Stegostoma tigrinum: one gene and its partner. Each later gene encodes a partner of the first gene's protein in a complex. Links are inferred from orthologs where the notes say so. Each region holds a gene or a part of one and is shown on either strand. Other genes may lie near its edges.

Region 1 (8,315 bases):
GGGCTGGTTGTGTGGTGCAGTGGGGGGAGGGGACGAACTGGGCTGGTTTAGGGATGCAGTAGGGGAAGGGGAGATTTTGAAACTGGTGAAGTCCACATTGATACCATTAGGCTGCAGGGTTCCCAGGCGGAATATGAGTTGCTGTTCCTGCAACCTTCGGGTGGCATCATTGTGGCACTGCAGGAGGCCCATGATGGACATGTCATCTAAAAAATGGGAGGGGGAGTGGAAATGGTTTGCGACTGGGAGGTGCAGTTGTTTGTTGCAAACTGAGCGGAGGTGTTCTGCAAAGCGGTCTCCAAGCCTCCGCTTGGTTTCCCCAATGTAGAGGAAGCCACACCGGGTACAGTGGATGCAGTATACCACATTGGCAGATGTGCAGGTGAACCTCTGCTTAATGTGGAATGTCATCTTGGGGCCTGGGATGGGGGTGAGGGAGGAGGTGTGGGGGCAAGTGTAGCATTTCCTGCGGTTGCAGGGGAAGGTGCCAGGTGTGGTGGGGTTGGAGGGCAGTGTGGAGCGAACAAGGGAGTCACGGAGAGAGTGGTCTCTCTTTGGACACTGTTGGCGGGGGGGGGGGTCCTACCAGGGGAAGGCCATAGCGGGCAGGTCTCTGGCCCTGTGGCACAGAAGGGAAGAGGGCGCGGAATAGGAGAAAACCCACGCAGACACGGAGAACATGCAAACTCCACTCAGTCGTCCAAGAGTGGAATCAAATCCTCTATGAGGCAGCAGTGCTAACCACTGTGCCACCATAGAGAGATCTCTATGACTCTAATAGCTGGCTTCAATTAATGTATTGGCTGAGGTTATCTGTGGGCTGGTGACCTACCTGGATATGAGGCACAAACAGGCGGTTCTGTGGATGCGAACGAGATGAGCGGATGGTATGTTGCCTCTCGGGTACCAGGGTCCGTGATGTCTCGGATTGTTTCTTCGAGATCCTTCAGGAGGGAGGGTGAGCCACCAGCAGGAATGCTACACATCGGTACCAATGACAGAGGGAGAAAAAGGACAGAGAATGTGAAAAGTGAATACAGGGAGTTAGGTTGGAAGCTGAAGACCAGGACAAACAGGGTAATTATCTCTGGATTGCTACCAGTGCCACGTGATAACAAGGTAAGAAATAGGGAGAGCGTGCAGCTAAACACGTGGCTACAGGGTGGGTGTAGGAGGGAGGGCTCCCATTATGTGGATAATTGGAGCACATTCTGGGGAAGGTGGGACTTGTACAGTAAGGACGGGTTGCACCTGAACCGGAAGGGCACAAATATCCTGGGAGGGAGATTTGCTCGAGCTGTACGGGATGATTTAAACTCGATTGGCAGGGGGTGGGGAACCGGATCTGTAATTCAGAGAATGAGGTATTCAGTCTGCCAGCAGACACAATTAGGGAGTGAGGTTGTTTATAAAGAAATGCAGCCAATGGAGTGTAATCGTGGACACTGAGCTGGTTTGAGGTGTGTAGACCTCAATGCTAGACGTATCAGAAATAAGGCGAATGAACTTAGAGCATGGGTCGGTACTTGGAACTATGATATTGTGGCCATTACAGAAACTTGGGTAACTCGGAGCGAGGGATGGTTGTTGGAAGTTCCGGGATTTAGATGCTTTCTAAGAAATAGGGAGGGGGGTAAAAGAGGCGGGGGAGTGGCACTGAGTCAGTGCGAGTATAGCAGCTACTGAAAGGCAGTTTGAGAATGATATGTCTACAGAGTCAGTTTGGGTTGAGGTCAGGAACAAGAAAGGAGCAGTCACTTTGTTGGGGGTATTTTACAGACCCCCTAATAGTTGCAGAGAAGTGGAGGAGCGGATTGGGAGGTGGATACTGGAAAGGTGCAGAAGTCACAGGGTTGTAGACATGGGTATCCTCAACATTCCAAATATGGATTGGAAACATTTTAGTTGTAATAGTTTGATGGAGCAGATTTTGTCCGGCATGTTCAGGAAGGATTCCTGGCACAGTGTGTGGTTAGACCAACACGAGGGGAGGTTACATTGGATTTGGTGCTTGGCAATGAACCGGGCCAAGTGTTAGACCTGTTGGTAGGAGAGCATTTTGGCAGTAGCGATCATAACTCAGTTACTTTTGCAATAGTCATGGAAAAGGATAGTACATACAGCAGGGTAAGGGTTATTAATTTAGGGAAGGGTAATTACAGTTCTGTTTGGCAAGAACTAGGTAACATAAAATGGGAACAGAGGCTGTCAGGGAAGAGCTTTATTGAAATGTGGAGATTGTTTAAGGAATGCATACTGTGTGTGCTGGATATGTTTGTCCCTAGCAGGCAGGGAAGATGCGGTCAAGTGAGGGAGCCTTGGTTCTCAAGAGAGGTCAAACGACTGGTTAAGAGGAAGAAGGAGGTTTATATAAGGTTTAGGAAACAAGGAACGGAGAAGGCTGTAGAGGAATACAGGTTATCCAGGAAGGAACTGCACAGCGGGCTTAGGAGAGCTCTAAGGGAACATGAGAAAATCTTGGCAGATAGGATCAAGGAAAACTCCAAGGCTTTATACACGTTCTTGAGGAATAAGAGAATGACCAGAGAAAGGTTAGGGCCAGTCAAGGATTGTTAAGGGAATTTGTTTACGGAGGCTAAAGAGATAGGGGAGATCCTTAATGAATATTTTTCTTCAGTATTCACAACTGAGAGGGACCTAGTTGTGGCTAGAGGAGGTCGATGTTAGTAAGGAAGATGTACAAGGAATTCTGAGGAAGTTGAAGATAGATACGTCCCCTGGGCCTGATGGGATTTATCCAAGGATTCTATGGGAAGTGAGGGAAGAGATCGCAGGTGATGATTTTTTTTGTCCTCACTGCCCACGGTATAGTGCTAAAAGATTGGAAAGTGGCAAACGCCATTTCCTTGTTCAGAAAAGAGAACAGGGATAACCCCGGAAATTACAGGCCAGTTAGTATTACGTCAGTGGTGGGCAAATAATAGGAAAGGACTCTGAGAGACAGGATTTATGATCACTTGGATAGGCACAGTTTGATTAGTGATAGTCAGCATGGATTTGTGAGGGGTAGATCATGCCTCACAAACCTTATTGAACTCTTTGAAGCGGTGACCAAACACATGGATGAAGGTAGAGCAGTGGATGTGGTATACATGGATTTAAGTAAGGTGTTTGATAAGGTTCCCCATGGTAGGCTCATGCAGAAGGTAAGGAGGCATGGGACAGGGGGAAATGTGGCAGATTGGATTCAGAATTGGCTGACCCTGAGAAGACAAAGTAGTGGCAGGGGATGGAAAATATTCAACATGGTGATGAGTTGAGGAAGCATTGGAAAAGGTGCAGAGGAGATTTACCGGAATGTGTCCTGGAATGGAGCGAAGGTCTTACGAGGAAAGGTTGAGAGAGCTAGGGCTTTTCTCTTTAGAACGACGAAGGATGAGAGGTGACTTGATAGAGGTGTACAAAATGATCAGAGGTACAGATAGAGTGGGCAGCCAGAGACTTTTTCCTAGGGTGGAGGTGGCTATTATAAGGGGGCATCGTTTTAAAGTGAGTGGAGGTAGATATCAGGGAGGTGTCAGAGGCAGGTTCTTTACTCAGAGAGTGGTCGGGACGAGGAATACATTGCCAGAGAGGGTAGTGGAGTCGGCCTCATTAGGGGCATTTAAGCGGCTATTAGATAGGCTTATGGCTGATAGTATAATGTAGGGGTGGAGGTTAGATAGACCTTAGGTTTAGGGTAAAAGTTTGGCGCAACATTGTGGGCCGAAGGGCCTGTACTGTACTATTTTCTGTGTTCTCCATCCGACACTCCTTCAGACACTGCTGCTGGTCATTGGTTGTCAGAGTCCTCTGCTGTCCCTTTTGCTGATACTTCTGCTCCTGCAGATGCCCAGGCCTAGCTGTGGACCTGGAGCCTTGGCTTAGCCTGTGAGTCTGAGCTCGGGCAGTCAGCCTGGGACCTGCTTCTCAGTCGCCATGAGACCCCAGGCTGGGGTGGAGCAATGTCTGGCTCGTCCTGGCATTCCTGCCACCGTCGGCTTCCTTTTTCACCGGCCATTCTCCAGGCTTGAAGAAAGGAAGGAAAACAGTAAAAGCAAAAGGAAGAGAAAAGAAGAAAGCAGACATTGAAGAGTGATAGTAGGAACTGCAGATGCTGGAGAATCTGTGATAACAAAGTGTGAAGCTGGACGAACACAGCAGGCCAGGCAGCATCAGAGGAGCAGGAAAGCTGATGTTTCGGGCCTAGACACTTCTGCAGAAGGGTCTCTCCCTCAGAAACGTCAGCCTTCCTGCTCCTCTGATGCTGCTTGGCCTGCTGTGTTCGTCCAGCTTCACACTTTGTTATCTCAGACATTGAAGAGAGATGGTTATCATTGCAATATGTCTCCTTTCTGTATTCTGACTCTTTGGTGTTGGATATCCTTCTTACTACAGTGATGTTGTCAGCAAACTTATGGATGGCATTTGTTCAGAATTTGGCAACAGTTATAGATGTGCAGCAAGTACAGTAGGGGATGAAGAGTGCATTCCTGGGGGGGGCTCCAGAATTGAGTGTTATTGTGGAGGAGGTGCAGTTACCTGAAAGCTGCAGATCTAGGTCTCAGTGTTGATCTGTAATGTAAGGGTTATAAATGTTATCAGGGATTTTGCCTCGACCACACTAACAGGCAGTGTCCATCATTCAACAATTACCAGCCTGCCATTCATCCAACTCAACTAACCAACTCTTAGCCCAATCCAACCTTCCAATTGAGAAATACATTTGTAACTGCAGTGGCACTCTGCCGGCCAGAGCTGGCGCTGCTGACAAACATTTGATTTGAACTTTCTGCTCAGACGGAACCTCTTGCCACATCTACGTCTTGTTGTTATGGAGGCCGGAAAATGTGTGCGCCGCTGTACACTGTCCGGGTGGTGCCGTTTCCGGTCTGCGGCAAGGGGTAGCGCTTTGAGGGCCAGGAGCAGACGCAGTGGTAGTGTCCGCGGCTCGGGGTGAGCGAGGGCCGGGGCGTTAGAACACAAACGCACCCCGCGCCAGGCACAGATCGGCGGAGCGGATGGGGGCGCTGATGTCATGGAAACCGCGTCTGGCTGTGTCCCCACCAAACCATTCCCTCCACCGCCTTCAACTGTTCGGCCTCTCCCCCCCCCCACTCCCTCTCCCCATTCCCCGCCCGGACTCCCCCCCAAACTCTCCCCCCTCCCCCTCCACTACCCTCCCTCCTCCCCCAGACAACCTCCGGGCATTGTCCGATACCCCCACTGCCACACGCCCGCCCTCCCTCCCCCCCAACTCTCCCCCCTCCCCCCCCAACTCTTCCCCCCTCCCCCCCCAACTCTTCCCCCTCCCCCCCAACTCTTCCCCCCTCCCCCCCAACTCTCCCCCCTCCCCCCCAACTCTCCCCCCCTCCCCCCCCACCTCTCCCCCCCTCCCCCCCCAACTCTCCCCCCTCCCCCCCCAACTCTCCCCCCCTCCCCCCCAACTCTCCCCCCCTCCCCCCCCAACTCTCCCCCCTCCCCCCCAACTCTCCCCCCTCCCCCCCCAACTCTCCCCCCTCCCCCCAACTCTCCCCCTCCCCCCCAACTCTTCCCCCCTCCCCCCCAACTCTTCCCCTCCCCCCCAACTCTTCCCCCCTCCCCCCCAACTCTTCCCCCCTCCCCCCCAACTCTCCCCCCTCCCCCCCCACTCTCCCCCTCCCCCCCCAACCTCCCCCCTCCCCCCCCAACTCTCCCCCCTCCCCCAACTTCCCCTCTCCCCCCTCCCCCCAACTCTCCCCCCTCCCCCCCAACTCTCCCCCCTCCCCCCCAACTCTCCCCCCTTCCCCCCCAACTCTCCCCCCTTCCCCCCCAACTCTCCCCCCCCCAACTCTCCCCCCCCCAACTCTCCCCCCCCCAACTCTCCCCCCCCCAACTCTCCCCCCCCCAACTCTCCCCCCCCAACTCTCCCCCCCCCAACTCTCCCCCCCCCCAACTCTCCCCCCCCCAACTCTCCCCCCCCAACTCTCCCCCCCCCAACTCTCTCCCCCCAACTCTCCCCCCCCAACTCTCCCCCCCCAACTCTCCCCCCCCAACTCTCCCCCCCCAACTCTCCCCCCCCAACTCTCCCCCCCCCAACTCTCCCCCCCCCAACTCTCCCCCCCCCAACTCTCCCCCCCCAACTCTCCCCCCCCCAACTCTCCCCCCCCCAACTCTCCCCCCCCCAACTCTCCCCCCCCCAACTCTCCCCCCCCCCCAACTCTCCCCCCTTCCCCCCCCAACTCTCCCCCCTTCCCCCCCCCAACTCTCCCCCCTTCCCCCCCCCCCCAACTCTCCCCCCTTCCCCCCCCAACTCTCCCCCCTTCCCCCCCCCCCAACTCTCCCCCCTTCCCCCCCCCCAACTCTCCCCCTTTCCCCCCCCCAACTCTCCCCCCTTCCCCTCCCTCCACCCCCCAACTCTCCCCCCTCCACTCTCCCCCCTCCCCCTCCCTCCACCCCCCAACTCTCCACTCTCCCCCCTCCACTCTCCCCCCTTCCCCTCCACTCTCCCCCCTTCCCCTCCACTCTCCCCCCTTCCCCTCCACTCTCCCCCCTTCCCCTCCACTCTCCCCCCTTCCCCTCCACTCCTCCCCCCTTCCCCTCCACTCCTCCCCCCTTCCCCTCCACTCCCCCCCCCCCTTCCCCTCCACTCCCCCCCCCTTCCCCTCCACTCCCCCCCCCCCCCCCCCAACTTTCGGGACGTGTGGTGAAGACGCTGCTTTTTCGTTAATACTCACAGACTTGTTGCGTTCCTGCAGCACAAACCGAAAGTCTTCATGTGGTCGCTTACACAGGCCGCAGCCACAGGAGACCGAAGTCCCACAGAGATGCTGGCTGTTGTATCTCCTACAGGTTTATCTGTGAGGGAGTGTAATGATGCCACATGATGGCATGCTTTGTGCCCACCTATTTGTTTGGAAGCTCCTCTAATGTTATATACAGTTGCTCCCAGTCACTGTTCCTTTGATATAGTCACTCACACCTCTGAAAGTAGCCATTCAAGTCCAGTGTTATCTCCTCACAGTGTAACCCAGTCAGTCCTCCTCCTGCTCGATCCGCCTAGCTCTGCAGGTTAATTTCATTTTGAATTCATTCAACGTCTCCACTTCACTGACCTCGAGGGCAGAGAATTCCAGGTTGTTGCCACTCTGTGTAAAAATAAAATTCTTCCTCATGTTCCCGTTTTGTCTCCTGCCCAGAATGTTGAAGCTGTGTTCCCTTCGACCACTGAGCACAGCTCCCCCCCCCCCTACCTAAACCTGTAATAATCTTGTAAACTGATCAACAATCCCAAAATCATTTTTGGTCTAAGAAGGAGAGCCCCATCTTCAGTAAATTTGCAATGCCTACCACCAGCCCCAACCCCCCAACCAAAATAAAGGTCATGGTATCATTTTGGTTTTGTTCATGGGATGTGGGTGTGTCTGACAAGACCAGAATTTATTCATACTTATTGTTGAACTGAGTGCACTAAAGACATTTAAGAGTACGTACAGCAATGTGGTACGGTGGCTCAGTGGTTAGCACTGCTGCCTCGCAGCCCCAGGGACCTGGGTTCGATTCCACCCTCGGGCGACTGTCTGTCTGTGTGGAGTTTGCACATTCTCCCCGTGTCTGCGTGGGTTTCCTCCGGGTGCTCCGGTTTCCTCCCACAGTCCAAAGATTAGATGAGTTGGCTACGGGAAACATGGGGATAGGGTAGAGGGCTGGGTCTGGAAGGGTTGCTGTTTGGAGGATTGTTTCAGACTCGATGGGCTGAATGGCCTTTTTCCCCACTGCAGGGATTCTATGATTTCCTTCCCTAAAGACATCGGTGAACCAGAAGGGATTTTATGGTAATTGACTACGGATACACGATCACCATTGGCATAGTTTTTTATTGAATATATGTTTCGCCATTGGCCACAATGTGATTTGAACCCAGAACAGTCACCTGGGGCTACCAGCATCTCCCAGCACCACTGTCTCCCCAGCTACTCTGTGAATATAGTCTAGAGCATGCTCATGTTTCTCATCTCCTGCAGGTTGTTCAGCTACTGTCCTATCTATAACATGGAGTGGTAAATATCTGATGTTAAGAGCAGCCTGTTTTGCATAAATTACATGTTCATCTCTTCCTGCCAGACTACAGGCACAGTGACATTACTGACCACACCCAGAGGATAAGAGCCTACCTAGATACTCATTGCCCTTTCCTGCCTCCTGTTAGTTTTCAGAGTGCACGCTGTCCCAGTGTAGCCACAGTGTGCCCCTTCCTCTCGAGTCGCCGTGCCAAGTTGTGGAGATGGGCCTCCTCTCGGATCCAAACCGCAGGCAGGTGTTGACAAACCTGCTCA
Region 2 (8,499 bases), on another chromosome or scaffold:
GGAGGCACAAACCTGCACTCCAAGGTCTCTTTATCGAGCAACACTCCAGTACTCAGACCTTGGAATGTAGGAATTGAGATGTTATGTTGAGGATGTATAGGATGTTGATGAGGTCTCCTCTGGGGTGCTGTGTGCAGTTCTGGTCACCCTGTTACAGGAAAGATATTATCATTCTGGACAGAGTTCAGAAGAGATTTACCAGGATGTTGCCGGATATCAAAGATGAGTTATAAGGACTGTGACTTTTTTCACTAGAACGTAGATTGAGATTTATAAAATAATGAGGGGCACAGTGAATAGCAGGTGTCTTTTTCCTAGGGTCGGGGATTTCAAGACTAGGGCACATACTTTTAAGGTAAGAGGAAAAAGATTTTAAAAAAAATGAGGGGCAACTTTTTTGTTTTTTTACACAGAGAATGGTTCGTGTGTGGAATGAAATTCTAGAGGAAGTGGTGGATGTGACCACAGTTACAACATTTAAAAGACATTTAGATAAGTAACAAATAGAAATGTTCGGAGGGATATGGGCCGAGCGCAGTCAGGTGGTACTGGATTTGTTTGGGATTATTGTTGGCATGGGTTGGTTGGACCGAAGGGTCAGTTTCCATGCTGTATGACACTATGACTCGCCAGGACTCGAGGATTAAGTGTTAAGTCATGCCCTGATTTGCCTTATGAAAATTGAACACGTCACATTTATCTAAATTAAACACCATCTGACACTCCTCGGTTTGTCTGATCAATGTCCCATAGTACTCTTCAATAATCTTCTTCACTGTCCACCACACTACCAATTTTGATGCCTTTTGCAAACTTACTAACCATTCCTCCTACATTCACATCCAAATCGTCTAGTGAATGGGAAAATTGAAAGCAAAAGGGATCCGTAAATTTTACAGCAGTGACTGTGTGACCAAAGGCTGGGATGGAAGCAATTCTCTTTAAATTTCCTTCAGGTTTCCTATAGGATTTTTTGATGTATCTGAATTATGCTGTCAATTCTAAAATGTATAACCACCAAGGCTGCCTACACATTTATCCAATTTCAGTCAGCCATATTCCCCCATTACTGGCAGGCATCTTGACACAGTTACCAAAACAAGACATCAAGATATTTAATAGTGCTGTTTGAAAAGTAAAATTGGTAAATAAGCATTTAAATACATGGTTAAAACTAAGATTAACAGAAAGAAGGATTAATCATGATTGTTCTTCATGGAACTATTGACAGCCCTAACAACAAGTTAAACTGCTTCCAACACAACCGACCATAAATGTATCGTCTTAAGTGTTAAACAGCACAAAATTTCTCTTGCCAGAAACAAGTCAAAAGTAGGGTTAGCAACTGTCTGGAAATGTTCTAAAGTTGAAGGGCTTGGTAGTTGAGATGGGCTCAAGGCACACACAACATAGATACCTGACAAGCATGGGTACGTGCTCAGGTGAGTACACGCGATGCATTGCAATGTCAGGATTATCCTTCATAATGAGATGTAAGTGATTTGCCTGTGTCTGTGATTCATCCAGAGTCCTAATGAGTAAATCTACCTCTGACTCAAACTGATATGGATTCAAGTCCCACACTAAAACTGGAGCTTAAAACTGCAGGCTGATCATCCAGTGCAGTATTGAGGGAGTGCTGCAATGTCAGAGATGGAATTGGCTAGATAAGATATTAAATGAAGACGTGGCATACTCTCTCTGATGTACCTTAAGAATCCAAAATCATTTTTTCAAAGAGGTGGTGGCAAGTTTCCCACTGGTATTTTGGCCTATATTTATCTCTTCATTAATATTACAAAACAGAAATTCTGGTCTTTACACTACTGTTTGTGGGAATTTGCTATGTACAAGTTGGTTGCCACTTTTCTTGTATTACAACAGTGACATGAGTGCACTGAGTATAGGAGTTGGGAGGGCATTGGTTAGGCCACTTTTGGAATTTTGTATTCAATTCTGGGTCTCCCTGCTGTAGGAAAGATGTTGTGAAACTTGAAAGGGTTCAGGAAAAGGATTTACCAGGATGATGCCAGGGCTGGAGGGTTTGAAAAATAGGGAGAAACTGAATATTTTCCTTGGAGCATCGGAGACTGAGGGGTGACATTGTCGAAGTTTATAAAATCATGATGAGAATGAAAAAGGTGAATAGCCCAGGTCTCTTTCCCAATGTAGGGGTGCCCAAAAGTAGAGTGCATCGGTTAATGATGAGTGAAATAATTTAAAAGGAACCTAAGGGGCAACTTTTTCCATACATAGGGTGTTGTGCGTATGGAATGAGCAGACAGGTGTGGTGGTGGAAACAGGTACAATTACAATATTTAAAAGGCATCTGGATGGGCTTGTGAATATGAAAGGTTTAGAGAGATACTGGCCAAATACTGGCAAATGGGACTCAGTCTGATTGGAATGTCTGGTTGCATGGACGAATTGGGCCGAACGGTCTGTCGCTATGCTGTACATCTCTACGACCACAAATCAAACGTACTTCACCTGCAGTAAAGTGCCTTGTACCATCCCAAATGGTGTGAAAGGTATGACTGATTATTTTTTTAAAAAGAGAGAACACAACAAAAAAAAATCAAAAAAGTTTGATCCTGCAGCTCACTGCTGACCAGTAAGTCCTGCAAAACAAGAATAACTGCAGCACCTGCTCACAGAGGTGCCACTACATATCTGTGGCTAGAAATTGCAGGGGGAAAGGTTTTGCAAAGACGGGATGTAGAGCTGTTTAAATGCAAGATCTCAGCAATAAATTTGATCGCCGTTGTTATACTTTCCTGAGATCCTAGCAACAGCACTGGAATGCGCATTTTTGCGTGCCACACGTTATGAATTAAGCATTAAACATTTAAAAAACGGATGGCAGTGCTGATGGGGGATTCCTGCAGCTTGCAAATGAAGTGACAATCAGAAGCCCTTAGAGCCCAATCCACACTGACAAGAGAGGGGCGGCGGGAGGGAGGCTGCAACGGGCCAAACGAATGGTTAAACATACACGAAACAGATACCTCGCTTCCACGAATTCAGAGGGGAGACCACTTCCACTCGCTCTGAGATAAAATCCACCAGCGAAGAGCGGAACAGCACAGCCCTGACTGTCACGGCCACAACCAGCACCAAGAGCAAGGAAGCGGCCATTGTCCCAAACACCGGCCCGGCGGGCGGGCGGGCGGGCGAGAGGGGGCGGGAAAAAGGGAAGAACGGAAACGGATGTGACGCCGCCCCCCCCACCACACACACACACACAAACGGCCGCTGCAGTCCTCGCCCCACACCGCCTGGACTACAGGGACCGTGGTGCATCACACGGCTCACGTCCCGAAGCCTCCGCGACGGTGGCCGCCGAGGGATGGGTGGTCTCTGCTTTCGCGGAACGCCCCGCATCAGAGTGGGGCCGAACAGGTATTGTGGGGATGCTGCGGTGGAACGCGTTTAATACCCTCCTTTAAGACTTTTCCTTTGAGACTCATTAGCAAAAAGAAACATTTTAAGTAACAAAAGAAAAAAAAATCCAGAAAGTGTTGGGAAAGCTCAGCAGGTCTGGTAGCATCTGTGGAGAGAAAGCAGAGTTAATGTTTTGGGTCCAGTGTCCTTCATTAAAAAGAAACTGGGCAGATAAAGGAATGTCTGCTAATGGAGACCATTACTGGCTGATAGTGGGGTGGTTTGTGGTAGTACCCCATGTTGACACCAAGGCCTGGCCTCTGAGGGTTGAGGTAAAGGACATGGAAGAAGGTGCTCAGGCCCTACAATGATTGAACTTGATATGGAGTCCTGAAGGCTGTAGGTCCCCAAGTGGGAAATGTTCTTGGCTGGAACACTGCAGTAAGCCCGAGACACAGATGTTGGCCAGGGAGCAGGGTGGTGGGTATAAATGGCAGCCAACTGGAAGCTCCCAGCAATTTTGCAGATAAAGTATAGGTATTGGATGTCTAGACTTTTTAGCATCTTGTAAGCTGATAAATTGTGCCACGATGGTCGACTCTTTGCCGTGATGGTGCCATGACTTTTCAACCCTGTGTTAACCTTGGCCTAGCTTTTTTTTCCCCCCAGGTGCCCCACTCAGGCATGACTGCCTCTGCCCTATTTTTATTCATTCATGGAATGGAAGTGTCACTGGCTTTTTTTGTCCATTTATTGTCCACCCCTAATTGCCCAATCTGGAGAGCAGTTAAATATCAACCACATTGCTGTTGGTGCACTTGGTGGGTTTTCCCAAAAATTGACAATGGTTTCATGGTCGTCATTAGATTCTTAACCTACGTTTGCTGCAGAATAAGATGCTGGGCTACTTTAATAAGTACAGAAAGTGCTGGAGAAACTCAGCAGGTCTGCCAACATCTAAGGAGAGTGAAATAGATATAATGGTTTGAGTCTCATACTTGCAGACCTGCTGAGATTCTCCAATGCTTTCTGTTTTTTTTTAAAATATTCAGATCCCCAGCATCCGCAGTATTTAACCTTTTACTGGGCTACTTTCTCCTTGGCCAATTGAGTTTTCCTTCACTGGAACGCTGCAGTAAGACTGAGACAGATGTTGACCAGGGAGCAGAATAGATCAACTCATATTAAAGTTACATTTCTGCAGGAAGACCATTGTCAGAAGGAAATGTGTCTTCATCATCCAACAGGGACATCAAATGCAGTGGGGTCAGTCTGGAAGATGAATGAAAGTGTACAGTACATTCTGTCATATTTAAGTTGGGTTGGCTTCAGTTAAAAGAGACCCTGCCATGTTTTATTGGTGTCATGAAGGGCAGTTTTCGGCAAATTTGTGATGTATGTAGATTTTTATTTGTGGCATAATAGCATTAAATTTGAACACATTGTCATAAATGGGCATAAAGCAGAATTCAAAACTAGAGTTTAGGCTTTGAAGTACATTGGTTTGGAAATCATTTATAATGGATTAAGTGTCACTTTACATCAGCAGTCTTATTTAGAAAATGTTAGCTGCATTGATATTTGTCAGATTTAGGCTTCACAAAAGAGACACAATAGCTTAGAAAACTGAAGTGAAGGAATTTCAAACTCTAATTGGACAGTTGAATTGGCTAGGTACTGAAACAAGGTCACATTGCCATTTTGAATCATTAGAGTTGAGTACAGCTATGAAGGTGGAGGATATATAGGCAAATAAAGGATTGAAAAAAGAAAGCAAAAATGAAGCCTGGTGTTTTGAAGTTTCCCTCATTGGAGATGTCAGGATTGTGAAACCTTTTTTTTTCTGGTGCCAGTTTCTGTGGTGGGTTCCAAATGCGGAAGAGTTTATCATTTCTCGTGTGGGTAAGCAAGGTAAATGTTGACTTTTAGCTTAAGCTAAAAAGAGCATAAGTATAGTAAAAAGCGGATTCTTGCTCTCAGTGAGCCAGTAGATGTGGCATTCTCCTTAGTGAAAATATTGGAAGAAATTCGAAAAAAGAAATCAGGAATATCTGTTGAGTGCTGCATTGATACTGAATCACTGTAGGATACAGTACACTCAACAAATGTGTTTTTGAAAACAGACTGAGAATCAATATTGCAGTTTTAAAACAGATGGTGAGAATGGAGAGACAGTAAGAACTGCCGATGCTAAAGTCAGAGATAACAGTGTGGAGCTGGAGGAACACAGCGGGCCGGGCAGCATCAGAGGAGCAGGAAAGCTGATGTTTTGGGTCAGGACTCTCCTTCAGAAAATTTGTTGACTATATTGCCGTTCCTTCACTGTTGCTCATTCAAAATGCTGGTATTCTCTCCCTGATGGTAGTGTGGGTCAACCTACAGCAGGAGGACTGCGGCAGTTCAAAAAGGCAGCTCACTGCCTCCTTCTCAAGGGCAACTACGGACAGGCAATAAATGCTGGCTGGCCAGCCAGTGATGTTCAACATTCCCACAAATGAATTAAAAGCTGTTCTTTTTTGGAGTATAACATCTCTATTTGTATTTTACACGCCTTGGCATTTCTATCTATTGTTACTTCTTCACTCCCATGCCCCTGCCTCCTTAGTTCAAATCCTCCACATAGCAAGCACCCTGTAAGGAAATTGGCCCTAGCTCTGTTTAGATGCAACCATGTTGGCTTTTATAGGATCTGTGTCTCCCACCGACTTACTCCAATGTCCCAGAAGTCTAAAGCCCTCCCTCTTACACCATGTTTCCTGCGATATTTCATCCCTCTTTCTACCTGTGCTGCTGTTACCACAACTGCTGGCACTTGACTCTTCCCACCCTCTCAGCTGTTCATGGATATCCCTGCACAAGAAGGGATCGTTGGGAGATGAAGCATTTTATCTTTTGTGGTGGTCCGTACATAAATCTCTGTGATGGGTTTGTACATTTTGGAGAGTTTGTAACTTCCCGTGTAGGTAAGTAACGTAAAGGTTGTTATTTAACTTAAGCTAAAACGAACAGAAGAGTGGCCAAATAAAACCTTAGCAGTGGATTCACATCTTTGAATCATAGTATTACACAGTGAAGAAGAGATCCTTCAGCCCATCAGGTCTGTACTGCTGAAAATACTACTAGCTATACTTGTCCCACTCTCCTGCACTAAATTTCCTGAATGTTATTATGCTTCAACTGCACATCCAAGTGGAAGTTGTGAGGTTTCCCACCCCAATTACTGCCCCAGGCAGTGCATTCCAGACCACCACCACCACCCTCTTTGGTGAAAACGTTTTCCCTCACATCCCTATAAACCTCCTGCCTTTTCACTTTACAAATATGTCCCCTTGTATTGATGCTTAAATTAAGAGGAACTGCTGCTTTCAGTTTTACATGACCATGCTGCTCATTATCTTTTACGTCTCTGTCAGGTTCTCCGTCAACTTTCTATGCTCCAAAGAAAACAACCTCTACACCTTGTTATCTCAGATTCTCCAGCATCGGCAGTTCCTACTCTGCCTGACCATATCCAGCCTCGCTTCATATGAAATGCTCTGTGGTTTCAAAAAGACCTTTTTTCTTTGACTGTTATACCTGTCCACCACGTTTGTAGTTGGCACTCTGTTCTGCCCTCTCACACTTCTACCAGCCAAACAAAATCATCTGAAATTGTGGCCCCAGACCTTAAATGTCAGCAATGCTCCCTACAAACTGAAGATGTCCTCAGCATTTCACTGAACGCTGAGAGGAGAGATTGATACAGTCAAACACTCCTATGCTCCCTTGTACTTCTGCTACTTGTTTGGCTTTCCTAATTATCATAATTATAATTGCTTTAGTGTTCAGAGCATGAATTACTCCTGCACTTTACACCTCCAGAAAGTCAACAGAATTTCTGGCATTCTGACAAAGTATTTAATTGACTGTAAAGGGCTTTGGGGCAGCTTGAGGTAGCAATACAGAAACGCAAGTCCAATTATCCTGGGATCTGGTTGTTTTCAACATTTTGGTTTGATAGAACATAGAACATAGAACAGTACAGCACAGAACAGGCCCTTCAGCCCACAATGTTGTGCCGACCATTGATCCTCATGTATGCACCCCCAAATTTCTGTGACCATATGCATGTCCAGCAGTCTCTTAAATGACCCCAATGACCTTGCTTCCACAACTGCTGCTGGCAACGCATTCCATGCTCTCACAACTCTCTGTGTAAAGAACCCGCCTCTGACATCCCCTCTATACTTTCCTCCAACCAAAAATAGCGAGAGAGATTTGTGAGCAAAAGCTAAACAATGACAAATGGAGCTCAATTTGGATAAATGTGGGGTACTGCATTTTTGTACAGCAAGGGTAGGGCTTATACAGTTAAAATGGTAGTGCCTTTGGTAGTGTTACAGAACAAAGGCACCTAGGAGTTCAGGTACATAATTCTTTATGTCACATGTAGACAGAGTGGTTGAAAAGGCATTTGGTACACTTGCCTTCATTGCTCAGTCTTTTCCAGTATGGAAGTTGTGAAGTCATGTTGAGGTTGTGGAGGACATTGGTGAGGCCTCTTCTGGAGTACTGTGTCCAGTTCTGGTCTCCCAGTTATAGGAAGGATATTATTAAGCTGGAGAGGGTTCAGAAGAAATTTACCAGGATGTTGCCAGGTATGGAAGGTCTGAGTTGTAGTGGTAGGCTGGGACTTTTTTTAAACTGAAGTGTTAGAGCTTGAGAGGCGATCTTATGGAAGTTTATAAAATAATGAGGGATATAGATAAAGATAATGGTAGTGGTCTTTTCCCTAGGATGGGGGAATTTCAAGATTCAGGTCCCATTTTTATGGTGAGAGGGGAGAGTTTTGGAAAAGACATGAGGGGATAGCAGACATAGAGGATGGTTAGCATGTGGAATGAACTTTGTGAGGAAATGGTGGATATGGATACAGTTACAATGAAGTGTATGAATCGGAAAGGTTTGGAGACATATGGGCCAGGAGTAGGCAGGCGGCACTAGTTTAGTTTGGGATTATGTTTGGCATAGATTGGTTGGACTGAAGGGATGTTTCTGTGCTGTATGACTCTATCTGTGGGGGAAAACCGAGGTCTTTGAAATTTGGATCACACAATCTTTACAATGTGGTAGCAG

Evidence for each region.
Region 2: the proteins of gpaa1 (region 1) and pigu are in contact, whole or in part, in a cryo-EM structure (PDB 8IMX), measured with the Homo sapiens proteins. The link is inferred for Stegostoma tigrinum from reciprocal best matches to the Homo sapiens genes GPAA1 and PIGU. Residues at the interface, in NP_003792.1 of Homo sapiens: Gln245, Leu310, Arg311, Arg313, Phe358, Leu359, Ile371, Ala389, Leu390, Trp393, His397, Leu500, Ile504, Leu508, Cys512, Leu515, Thr516; in NP_536724.1 of Homo sapiens: Tyr349, Ile355, Phe356, Cys360, Ile363, Val364, Leu367, Leu368, Val371, Leu372, Leu375, Ile377, Tyr378, Ala379, Gly380, Ser381, Phe386.

What each region holds. Positions count from the first base shown.
Region 1 is NC_081355.1:159,738,161-159,746,475, forward strand, and holds the start of gpaa1 (glycosylphosphatidylinositol anchor attachment 1 protein), read left to right. Parts: upstream 1-4,840; 5' UTR 4,841-4,956; intron 4,957-6,766; exon of another isoform or gene 6,767-7,050; intron 7,051-8,103; exon of another isoform or gene 8,104-8,188; 5' UTR 8,189-8,263; coding exon 8,264-8,315. UniProt on the Homo sapiens protein: Component of the glycosylphosphatidylinositol-anchor (GPI-anchor) transamidase (GPI-T) complex that catalyzes the formation of the linkage between a proprotein and a GPI-anchor and participates in GPI anchored protein biosynthesis. Binds GPI-anchor.
Region 2 is NC_081372.1:12,866,182-12,874,680, forward strand, and holds the start of pigu (phosphatidylinositol glycan anchor biosynthesis class U protein), read right to left. Parts: upstream 3,191-8,499; 5' UTR 3,139-3,190; coding exon 3,009-3,138; intron 1-3,008. UniProt on the Homo sapiens protein: Component of the glycosylphosphatidylinositol-anchor (GPI-anchor) transamidase (GPI-T) complex that catalyzes the formation of the linkage between a proprotein and a GPI-anchor and participates in GPI anchored protein biosynthesis.